Linked DNA regions of Nothobranchius furzeri. The protein of the gene in region 1 purifies or fractionates together with the protein of each later gene. This does not show direct contact. Links are inferred from orthologs where the notes say so. Each region holds a gene or a part of one and is shown on either strand. Other genes may lie near its edges.

What was found.
Region 2: the proteins of ddb2 (region 1) and cct5 purify together in Homo sapiens (co-immunoprecipitation; 3 studies listed by BioGRID and IntAct, with this or other methods). This does not show direct contact. The link is inferred for Nothobranchius furzeri from reciprocal best matches to the Homo sapiens genes DDB2 and CCT5.
Region 3: the proteins of ddb2 (region 1) and cops8 purify together in Homo sapiens (affinity purification with mass spectrometry; 6 studies listed by BioGRID and IntAct, counting the BioPlex papers as one, with this or other methods). This does not show direct contact. The link is inferred for Nothobranchius furzeri from reciprocal best matches to the Homo sapiens genes DDB2 and COPS8.

The regions. Positions count from the first base shown.
Region 1 is NC_091744.1:65,528,507-65,531,366, forward strand, and holds the end of ddb2 (DNA damage-binding protein 2), read right to left. Parts: intron 1,708-2,860; coding exon 1,562-1,707; intron 1,368-1,561; coding exon 1,212-1,367; intron 1,102-1,211; coding exon 1,056-1,101; intron 964-1,055; coding exon 713-963; 3' UTR 551-712; downstream 1-550.
Region 2 is NC_091747.1:54,098,025-54,102,281, forward strand, and holds the start of cct5 (T-complex protein 1 subunit epsilon), read right to left. Parts: upstream 2,814-4,257; 5' UTR 2,660-2,813; coding exon 2,555-2,659; intron 2,185-2,554; coding exon 2,124-2,184; intron 1,993-2,123; coding exon 1,828-1,992; intron 1,427-1,827; coding exon 1,228-1,426; intron 1,103-1,227; coding exon 910-1,102; intron 817-909; coding exon 667-816; intron 578-666; coding exon 458-577; intron 381-457; coding exon 195-380; intron 118-194; coding exon 1-117. Other genes in the region: mtrr (methionine synthase reductase), read left to right, coding at 3,507-3,650, 4,212-4,257. UniProt on the Homo sapiens protein: Component of the chaperonin-containing T-complex (TRiC), a molecular chaperone complex that assists the folding of actin, tubulin and other proteins upon ATP hydrolysis.
Region 3 is NC_091747.1:24,680,937-24,683,769, reverse strand, and holds the end of cops8 (COP9 signalosome complex subunit 8), read left to right. Parts: intron 1-61; coding exon 62-169; intron 170-253; coding exon 254-316; intron 317-1,879; coding exon 1,880-1,959; 3' UTR 1,960-2,294; downstream 2,295-2,833. UniProt on the Homo sapiens protein: Component of the COP9 signalosome complex (CSN), a complex involved in various cellular and developmental processes.

The DNA.
Region 1 (2,860 bases):
TCTTCCTCACAGTCAAAATACTATTCAACTAGTTCCTTGTTCTGTCAGAGCATCACCAGGGATGAAACCCAGCTGGTGATGTCTACGTGTTCCAGACTTCAGGCTGTAGTTCATTGCTAAGGATTTTCAACCAAGTATTAAAAAGTGAAGGTAGACTTATGGTTATTTTGCCACATTACTTTCGGCCCCGTGTGAGGCACACATGAAAACATTATTCCAACACTGTTCACATAGCCTAGTGAACTAAACCAAATTCTTGTTTTGCAAAGTTTGTATATGTCCTCACACATAGGATCGTTTGCCAGGCTACCGTTCACATGGTTTGAATGTAAATACCCTCAAATGAAAGCTGACAGTTTGCAGCTAAAGCACTTTGTGTTTATTTTATTTCAAGTCCATTGTGGGGGAGTAGAGCCAAACGTTTTAGAACCGTCGACGTCCCAATATTTATGGATTCGACTAGATACTGACAATATTGATTGAAAGCAGTTAAAAAGGCCCATGTTTATGTCATCCATGCCCATGAGAAGTGTGTAAACACCAGAAACTGTTTTAAGGAAAGACTTATATAGTTTTATTGTTCTATAGTATAAAAACTGTGAAAACGTAGAACTTTAAACTGGTTCATCAAAGATTCAATATACCAAACACGCAGACAGTCCCTGATGTTAAACACTAACAATGACATTTACAAAGACTTTAGATAAACAGTTCACTTCTTTCTAGCCTGAGCTAGTTTTTGTTTCGTGCTCCCAGTCCTGCTTTTGGTCTCGGCTTCTTCCAGAGAAGCCAGTTTCTTCTTGAGTTTTGTGTCAGCAGCCGAACCTTTTCGGTCTCTGCTGGAGCGCGGCTGACTCCTCCTCGGAGCCCTCGACCTTTCAACTGAGGACGGAGTTTCTTCGTGCTGTTTGTGCCGACCGCTGACCAGTGACTCATCGTGGTCCCAGACCAGCAGGGTTACACCTTTACAAAATAAAAGCGCAGAAAACAGTTGAACTTCTTTAAAAAATTAAAAGCTTCAATTTGGGTTAAATGAAGAGCGTCCGATAACTCACCCATACCAGATCCGATCACGTCACCCATCGGACTGAATTTATTGACCTGTGAGAACACCCCACACCCACACCCACACACACACACACACACACACACACACACACAAGCTTAGTAACAGCAGCCTTTAACGTGTCCATCTTTTAATGAACACTCACAGATTTAATCCCGGAGGCAGTGGAATCGTAAAGCTGGAACACAAGATCCCCACTGTTGGAGTCAAAGATGTCGACGCTCCTCAGATCCCCGGTGCAGATCCGGTCATCAGGGTAGCGTCCGGCCACAATCAGGTCATACATGGGATGCCACGTGGCCTACAGAACAAATGGACCACTATTCTCTCAATTTAATTAATTGTGATGTCACATTAGCATCCAAAGGAGTCTTTCCACACTAGTGGGACAGAAACACACGTTCAAAACATCACGCCTCGACTCATCAATCATACAGAAGTCTAGAACTATTCTGGACGTTTCACCAGAACTCGCAGGAGGACTCAGACACAAACCTTGATGGGTGTGAGGTGCTGAAACTGCCTGTGTGGGTGCTGGATGATGTGTTGGGGCTTGGAAAAGTCACAGGAAGAGTAAACACGAATCTGGTCGTGTTGATCTGTGGTGAGCAGCTTCGAGCAGTCCAGCGGGTTGAAATAGGCTGCAGTCAAGACATTTATTCAAGATGCGGGTCAAGGTTTGTGTCCAAAAGATGAGATGACTAATATTCTTTGAGATTTTTATTTATTTTTAAAACGTTATCTTTGAGCAAATAGTTTTTTCTTTTAAGTTTTGTTTTATGTTTGCCAGCAGTCCCAGATCAAATTTTAGGATTTTTAATCAATTTTTTTTTTAAATTTTGTTTATTACATTTCCCTTGAAACGGGAAAACAAGTTAAAAGTAAGCATAACATCTTGGGCAACTAATTTAAATAAATAAATGATGTACGATTTGTGCAAATACTCAGATGAAGTCATTCCAGGTTCCTAAAATATCTGGATGCAGAGAGCTGATCATTTCCTCCCAGCATTCCGTTTTGATCCTATAAACCAGGGGTGTCAAACTCAAACTCACACGGGGCCGAAATGAAACTCTGGGACGGAGCTGAGGGCCAAACTTAATATTTTTGAAAAAGTGACGGCAAATTTGCACATTTTATTTATCAACATGTATGCAATTTTGAACCTTTAAATTAGGAAACAAACTTATTTCTGCATTAACGCTGAATGTGGAATAACCAAATTACACACGAGCAAGTCAGTTTTAAATAAAAGGCATCAGTGGTATTCATTACTTGTGGTATAATCAGCATTTTTAAAATGTATTCAGGATTTATGTTTTCTTGTTTATTCATTTTTCTTATTATTTATTCTCCCTTTTTTCTCCTGTAATAAGTGTCATCGCTGCTGTGACGTCTAGCTTTCCCCACTGAGGAACAATAAAGGGATTTTCTATTCTATTCATCTATCTGCAGCCTTTCCACTTCCTGTTTACTGTAGGTTAAATCTTTTCTTACGGGCCAACAACAAAATAAAGACATAATTTTATCTTAAATGAAAATGCAATATCTCACCTGTTAACTTTCATGTTTTGGAGCAGAAAAAAGAGCATAAAACCAACATATTTAAAGCTCTTTTTGCTCCACTGGTTCACTGTGATGCTCACCTGTTCCAGCCAGATACCTGCATCATGGGGTTGAGCTGAGCTGAGGAGGAGACTCCTGTTGTTTTGTTCATCTTCATCGTAATAATGACAACATTAGATGACAACAGGTGCTCACATAGGTTTGTGCTGATGAACATGTCTGAGCAGT
Region 2 (4,257 bases), on another chromosome or scaffold:
AGCCAGGGCACAGGCTATCTCTGAAGCTCCGCCCCCATACACAATACGGTTATCTTTCACCAAATTGCGGATTACACACAGAGCATCGTGGAGAGCACGCTTGGCTTCCTCAATGATCTAATGAAAAGGTTTTGACCATTAGACATGAATGTGATGAAAAAGGACAAAAACGATACAGCCTTGTGAGAGCGTACCATTTTGTTGCCGCCTCGGATGAAAATGGTTACAGCCCTGGTGTTTTTGCACTCCTGGATGACGAGCATGTGATCCTTGGTTGTGCCAAAGGAGATCTCCTTCACCAAGCCAGCGGTTCCGAGCTTCTCTGGTGTCAGCTCGCAGAACCTCGGCACAATACGGCCTCCGGTAGCTATAGCAATCAACTAACAAAACACCAAAGGGTGAGCTCGTAGCAAGGGTAGCTCATTCTGACCTTTCACATGCAAGACTTCTACCTCACCTCAATCTCAGGCCCTCCAACCCAGCGCACAGCAGGCAGCTCGCTTTGCAGCAGAAGATGGTTGGCCTCATCATCAAAGCCCCACTGGCAGATGGCCAAGTTAGCACCAGTGCTTTTGACCTAGAATTAAGGTGTTTTTATTCTTCCTTGATTTGCATGAACCACAAAAAGTCATTTTTGTAGCATCGGGATTTGTGAGAATTACTAACCTGCTGGATCATCTCCTCAAACTTCTCTTTTTCATAATTCTGGAGGGCTTTGTAGTCCTCAACGGAGGTCACATCCAACTTGTGTTTGGTCTTGGGTTTAGGAGGCTCAAACGGGCAGGTTAGAATAGCGATTTTAACATCTTTGAGAAGCTAATTGAAAAGAGAATTTGTTAGCTCAGGCACGTTAAAGCATCACAAAAATGCAGCAATATTTACAACAAACATTTATATTTTAAATCATACCTTGGGCATCTGAGGGTGGCTGAACTCCTTATCCACTATGACTCCCTTAATGAGCTGTGTGTCCTCCAGCTTTCCTCCCACCTTGCCCTCCACCTTGATGAGCTCAAAGTCTACATCCTTCCTTTCCATGTCGGCCACAGTGAGGATGGCATTCACTGCAATTTCCGCCATCTGTCTGTGGCACCGGTTGATGCTAGATAACAACAATAGGATTAAAAGGTGATTTGTCAAATCTCAATAACTCACTTAAAAAGCAGCCAGGTCACAGGGGCACAGGAAAATGGCATCAACAACTACTAAAATAATAATTTAATTTACACTTTTGACCCCAGCGTTGTCATGGCAGTCTGAATGAGTGGTTCGGTGTTGTTGGGATCGAAGGGGAAAGTTTCTGCTATTTTGTCCAGCTGCTCTATGGCTATGCGTGCAGCTTGGTCGTAACCATCGGAGATCCTGATGGGGTGGATTCCTCGGTCCAGCAGCTGCTCGGCCTGCTCAAGCAGCGATCCAGCCAGCACTGAGGATGCAGGAAAATAGGTAAACAGAGTCAGAAATGCATTAGAAGAGCAGTAGGTAGTGGAGGTAGACCGTTATGGGGTTTTCTTTCCCCAATACCAACAAGTATGAGTCATTGCCGATACGAGTTGTCACTTTTTGGCCGATATCTAGACATTTTCTGATTCATTTGCATGCTAAAATGCCCCAATAGTAGCAGCACACAAATCACTTTTAGGAACTCATAATTTACCTGCCAAAACCTAATTTTATGCACTTTACCGAATTAAAACTATTTAACTAAAATAAAAATATCAATACTAACCAAGAATTCTATATAAAATTAATTAACACAGAACATATATCACATGTTCATCTACAAAAAGCATTCACACAATGTTCCTTCTGCACACGTTTACACACCAACAACTCCAGTGGTTCCATCACCAATCTCATCATCTTGGGATTTGGACAGTTCCACCATCAGCTTGGCAATCTGGTGGTCCACATCCATCATGCTGAGAATGGTGGCGCCATCATTAGTGACAGTTACTTCTCCATCCTTGTCAACCATCATCTTGTCAAGACCTAAACGGTGACATGACATGGTAAACCTGCTGTGTTTGTAACTAGATTAAATTAATAATCTAATGGTCACACAGACTCTCGACATCTCAGCAGTTATTCAAGTGAAATGACATCACTGCACTGGATCGTACCGTTTGGACCCAAAGATGTCTTAAGCGTTGATGCCACTGCCTTGGCTGCCATTATGTGAGACTGTAAAACAAAACAAGTGCATATCAAAACACATTTTACCTCTAAAAGTCACCCTCAAAAGGCATGTAAACAGCGTGTCGGCTGTATGGGTGATGTACATGACCATGCAGGGTACAGCCCTATGTAGCACCTCCTACTAGATGAACGCACAGGGAGCACATGGGCCTCTTCTTAGCATAGCTAACGAATTCATTTCATTTCCTAATCTAATTCAGCTTATTTTGCACAAACATCAGAATGTGTTGGACAAATTCACTCATGCAACACAAAGCCGTATGTATAAATTCGTGTTGTAACCAAATTAAATATCTAATAGCAGGTTTGCTTGTTAGGCCATCACGCTACATGTATGCTAGCTAGCTCATTGTACCTTCAGTGCATCAATGCCCGATAAGCGTGTCTTCTTGTCTTGGTCTTTAATGATGATGAAGGGCCTTCCATATTCATCAAAGGCTAATGTGCCCAAAGTGGACATGCTGATTTGGAGTTTAGAACACACAATCGGCGTTTATCTGACAGAATAACGCGTTTAATGATGTGATCCTGGAGTGTGGCTGAACTGCAAGCCGCACGGATCTGCCGGGGACTTCTGGAAGGCTCCACGGGTGGGGAGGGCGGAACCAAATTCAGTTCAGCGTGTTTTCTTCCATTCCTGTCACCTTTTTTATAAACGACAAAAGGCTTGAACAACTATATCATAAATTAGTCACAATCATACAAATTAATATCATTGCAACTGACAACAAATTTTAAACAAGGGGAACGTCTTTGTCGTAACTTGGTTTGTTCCGATCACGCGCAATCTCAGTTTGAGCTCAGATCTCGCGTGAATTCAGTAACAAGACTAATTACCGGTATGTTGGCAAGGAGTTGACGAGGTGAATTTTCATACAATTTAAAAAGGTAGAAATACTTTATTAACTTTAAACTGCTTGTATTTCCTGTGTATTTATTACGGACTAATGCCAGAAAACACGATTCTCTAAAGAAAGTGAGTCGAGTTTCTCGGAATTCCGAATTAGTTTACGGACCAAATATGAAATGTTATGTTCATAAAGTGTTCTTGAGTGAAAAACGTCCACGTGCGCTGTTTTGGTAACTAGTCAAAGTTTGACGCAACATCCTGGTACTGACGGTAATGGTGGCGTAGCGGTGTGTTAAACGTGTTTCTGTGGCAGCCTGCCTTTTATTTGTCCAAGTATGTTGGTAAGCTGAGATGTTTGTTAAAATGCAGCTGATAATTGATTAGTTAGTCTCACTATTTTACCTGTGGCGTTTTAGAATTGCCTAAATATTTATCTGTTTATCTGTTTCCCCCCAGCATGCCTTGTGAGGTGAAGCATCGATTTGTGGTGCTGTTTGGGTCCCAGAAGGGCCAAGCTCAGGCTATAGCTGAGGGGATAGCCGAGGAGGCTGAGGAGCACGGTCTGACTGCTGATCTCAGCTGCTTGGACCAAAATGAGAAGGTAGATGTTAATAAATTTACGTGAAACAGACTCAGTAGCCGCAGGAATTTGCCAGGGGCCTCGTGTATTAGGACGAGTCTAGCAGGTCAGACTACTCATGTATTAACACTAAATCATCGTAGCATGCACCCTTTTCCCACACCTATTTCACGGCTGGCTTATGTGCTTTTCTACCTTTACCTGCGTGTTTGGTGACACTTAATAGTGGGCTTGCAGGGAAACAGTGAAAATAAATATTGTTAACACCAGATGCACAAAAAATAAATAATAACTTCACGTGTTGCAATTACATTGTTGGATAATAAAGCATGCATATTATGTGTCCAGTGTTCACTTATGCTCAATATCACCTTTGATGGATCATATGAAGGAATTGTGCGTAAATCCGTACATACATCTGGATTAACTTTTGCATACAGTTTATTCAAGCCTAAGTCATCTTCTTGTAAGAAATCCACAGAGATCTTTCAACATGAGGTCCCTGAGGTAGCGGGTTTTAACTGAATGCATTTTCACTTGGATTACATAAACCCAAGTAACTAATCATGTAACTGATTCCAGTACAATTTGGAGACGGAGCATGCCCCAGTGATCTTTGTTACGTCCA
Region 3 (2,833 bases), on another chromosome or scaffold:
ACACAGATTTACCTCATGTGTCATCCATATGCACCCCACTGACACCCGTGTTTGTCTGCAGAGAGCACACGGCAGCGGGCGTACAGCCTGGTGGCTCAGGCGTACACGTCCATTGCTGTGGAGGACTTCGCTGCCTTCGTGGGCTACTCGGTGGATGAGGCAGTAAAAGGTGAGCTCATGTTTACACCTGTGTTGTTTTAACAGTGATCCACACGTGTGTTTAATTCTGTTTACTGATGTTTTCTTTGTGAAGGAGTGTTGAGTCAAGGCTGGCAGGCAGATCCCACCACCAGGATGGTCATGCCCAAGAAGCCAGGTAGGGGGCGCTGCTGTCTTAGTCAATCTGTCTTCTTCTCCCTTGTAATCCTTGTGAGAGATTTATGGATTTTTCCCTTTAGAATGTTTAATTTTTCAGAACTTTCCAACATTTTGTCTCCTAGTTCAGATAATTTATCAAGATTTAAAAACTGTTAGAAGTTAGACGGATTCGTCCTCACTAGGGTGTAGGGAGGAGGAATTAGTCATGTACATACACAGGTTACACACACACGTGTGTGTACACATACACACGCACGCACACACACATAAACACACACACGCACACACATGTGTACACAAACACACACACGCATGCACACATACACGCACACACACACACGCACACACATGCACACACAAACACATGCGCACACACATACACATGCATGCACACACACGCACACAAACACATACACACACGCATGCACACACACATACACACGCATGCACTCACACACACATGCACACACACAGTCTCCAAGAAAATTTTGACTTTGATTTTCAGTTTCAAAATAAATTGTTATAATCAAATTTAACTCATTCACTGCCAATACTGTGTGGGCATCAGGACGAGCCCCCGCACCGTGAGAACAAACATCTCAGCTCTAAAGCTGATCTTCATCTGCATACGTCACACGTCACGTGATCAGGAAGCAGAACATCCATGTGTTAGGAGATCGTTTTGGGCCCTTGCTGTAAAAAAAGTGAGGCACGAACTGGAAAAGCTTCTGATCACAATTCAACAACGATTTATGAAAGAACGGATAACGCTCGAAACGCGCAAATTCTCCCTCATGTAACTCTGCTCCAACACACCTGATTCCAGTCGGCAGGTGATTAACAGGCTTCTGCAGAGCCTGATGAGCTGCTGCAGGTGATTCAAGCACTGAATCAGCCAACCCTGACCGAGCACGTGACCGAGCACTAAAACGTGCCGGTACTGCCCTTCGAGGCGTAGAATTGAATACCCCAGCTTTATAGTTTATAGAAAAGGTTTGTAGGTAAAACTGCTGCGAGGAATTCTGGGAAGTTTTTTACGGCTAAAGATGGAAGTTAGCGTTTGAGCTTAAAGAATTTCTTTGTTACACAGCAACCTTATTTTGTGAAAGGTTTGATGTCACAATCTCCTTCTGTGTGTGAGTAGGACTTGTGAGACCGTAGTTCTTTCACAAAAGGCATTCTGGGATTTGTAGGTTGTTGCATCTTTCCTGTTTTATTTCACTTTTTTAAAACTTTTATTTTGACATTTATTTTCCTCACAATAAGTTTTTTATTTCTCATATTTTTACAATTTTTTAAATCAGACTTTAGACATTTTTGATAGTTTGTTTAACATTTAGACTTTATTTAGATCCCAGCTGATCTCTTAGTGGCGTGTTTTTAGCGCTGCCTCTAGCGTGCTCTGTGGTTTTCTATGTGAGGTCCCTGCCTGCCCGTGTGGTACCAGACAGGTTAAACGGCTGGTTGTAACTGGAGCCTGAACATGTGGGCCGTGGCTGCAGAGTTGAAACCAAAGAGCGATGGGATGTTATCACCCCTCCACCTCCGTCTGTTCCAACAGATCCTCCTCCGGTCGCCCTGGTTCCAAACGAGCAGCAGTTGGCCAGACTCACCGACTATGTGGCCTTCCTGGAGAACTGAAGCTTCAGCTGCAGAGTTTCACCTGTTTGGTACCGAAGAAGACGGGTTTGGACGGACTCTTGGTCCATCCTGAAAGACCTGGCTCTCCCGGTGGAGAATGTTCTGGTTCACTTGGAGTTTATCGAGTCGGAGACTCGTTTTTCTCCTCTCCCTCTTGTCATGATGTGTACATTTGGGTCTGAGCTCAAAGTGTTTCTGACTGTTTTTGTTTCCAGCATAATAAACTCGTCCCTCACAAATGCTTTATTCAGGTTCAGCAGCTAAAAGTTAGCAGGAGTCCTTCCTGACCTCGTATTTAAGTTGCTGTTGATGAATAAATATTCTGCTGTTTCTAACCACTGACTGGTCGTGTCTCGCTCGGCTCAGCACGTTGACTTCACTGACACAAATGAGTCACATACAAGGCCATAAATGTGTTGGTAAGTGGATATTGGAGCTAATTATAAAACAAAATCTGATGAAGCATTGGTGTAAATACATCTGGCCACCGGCTGCTCATCACTGCCACATAGAAGGAAAATCTGTATTTTTAGTCCTCTTCAGACCGTTTGTAAGCATCGTGTCAGAGCTGGGAGAAGATGTGGTTTAGTGTTCATAACTCTAGTTACCGCCTGATATGTTTTTATAATCGCACATTTAAATGCGGACGATTTCCTTCTGCATGGATCCTTCTTAGAAATACGATAAGTAAAATGTTTTCTCGTTTATCTCCTGGTATAAATCCGTTTGATTCTAACAGCAGATCTGATCCAGGATCTGTCTGTGCTGTTCTCACAAATAGGAAGTCACTCGTGTTGAGACATGTTTTACAGCAGCTTGCCTCCAGATCTGAACTCAGACACAGCTGGGTCACGTGGGAAACCATGCTTGGAAG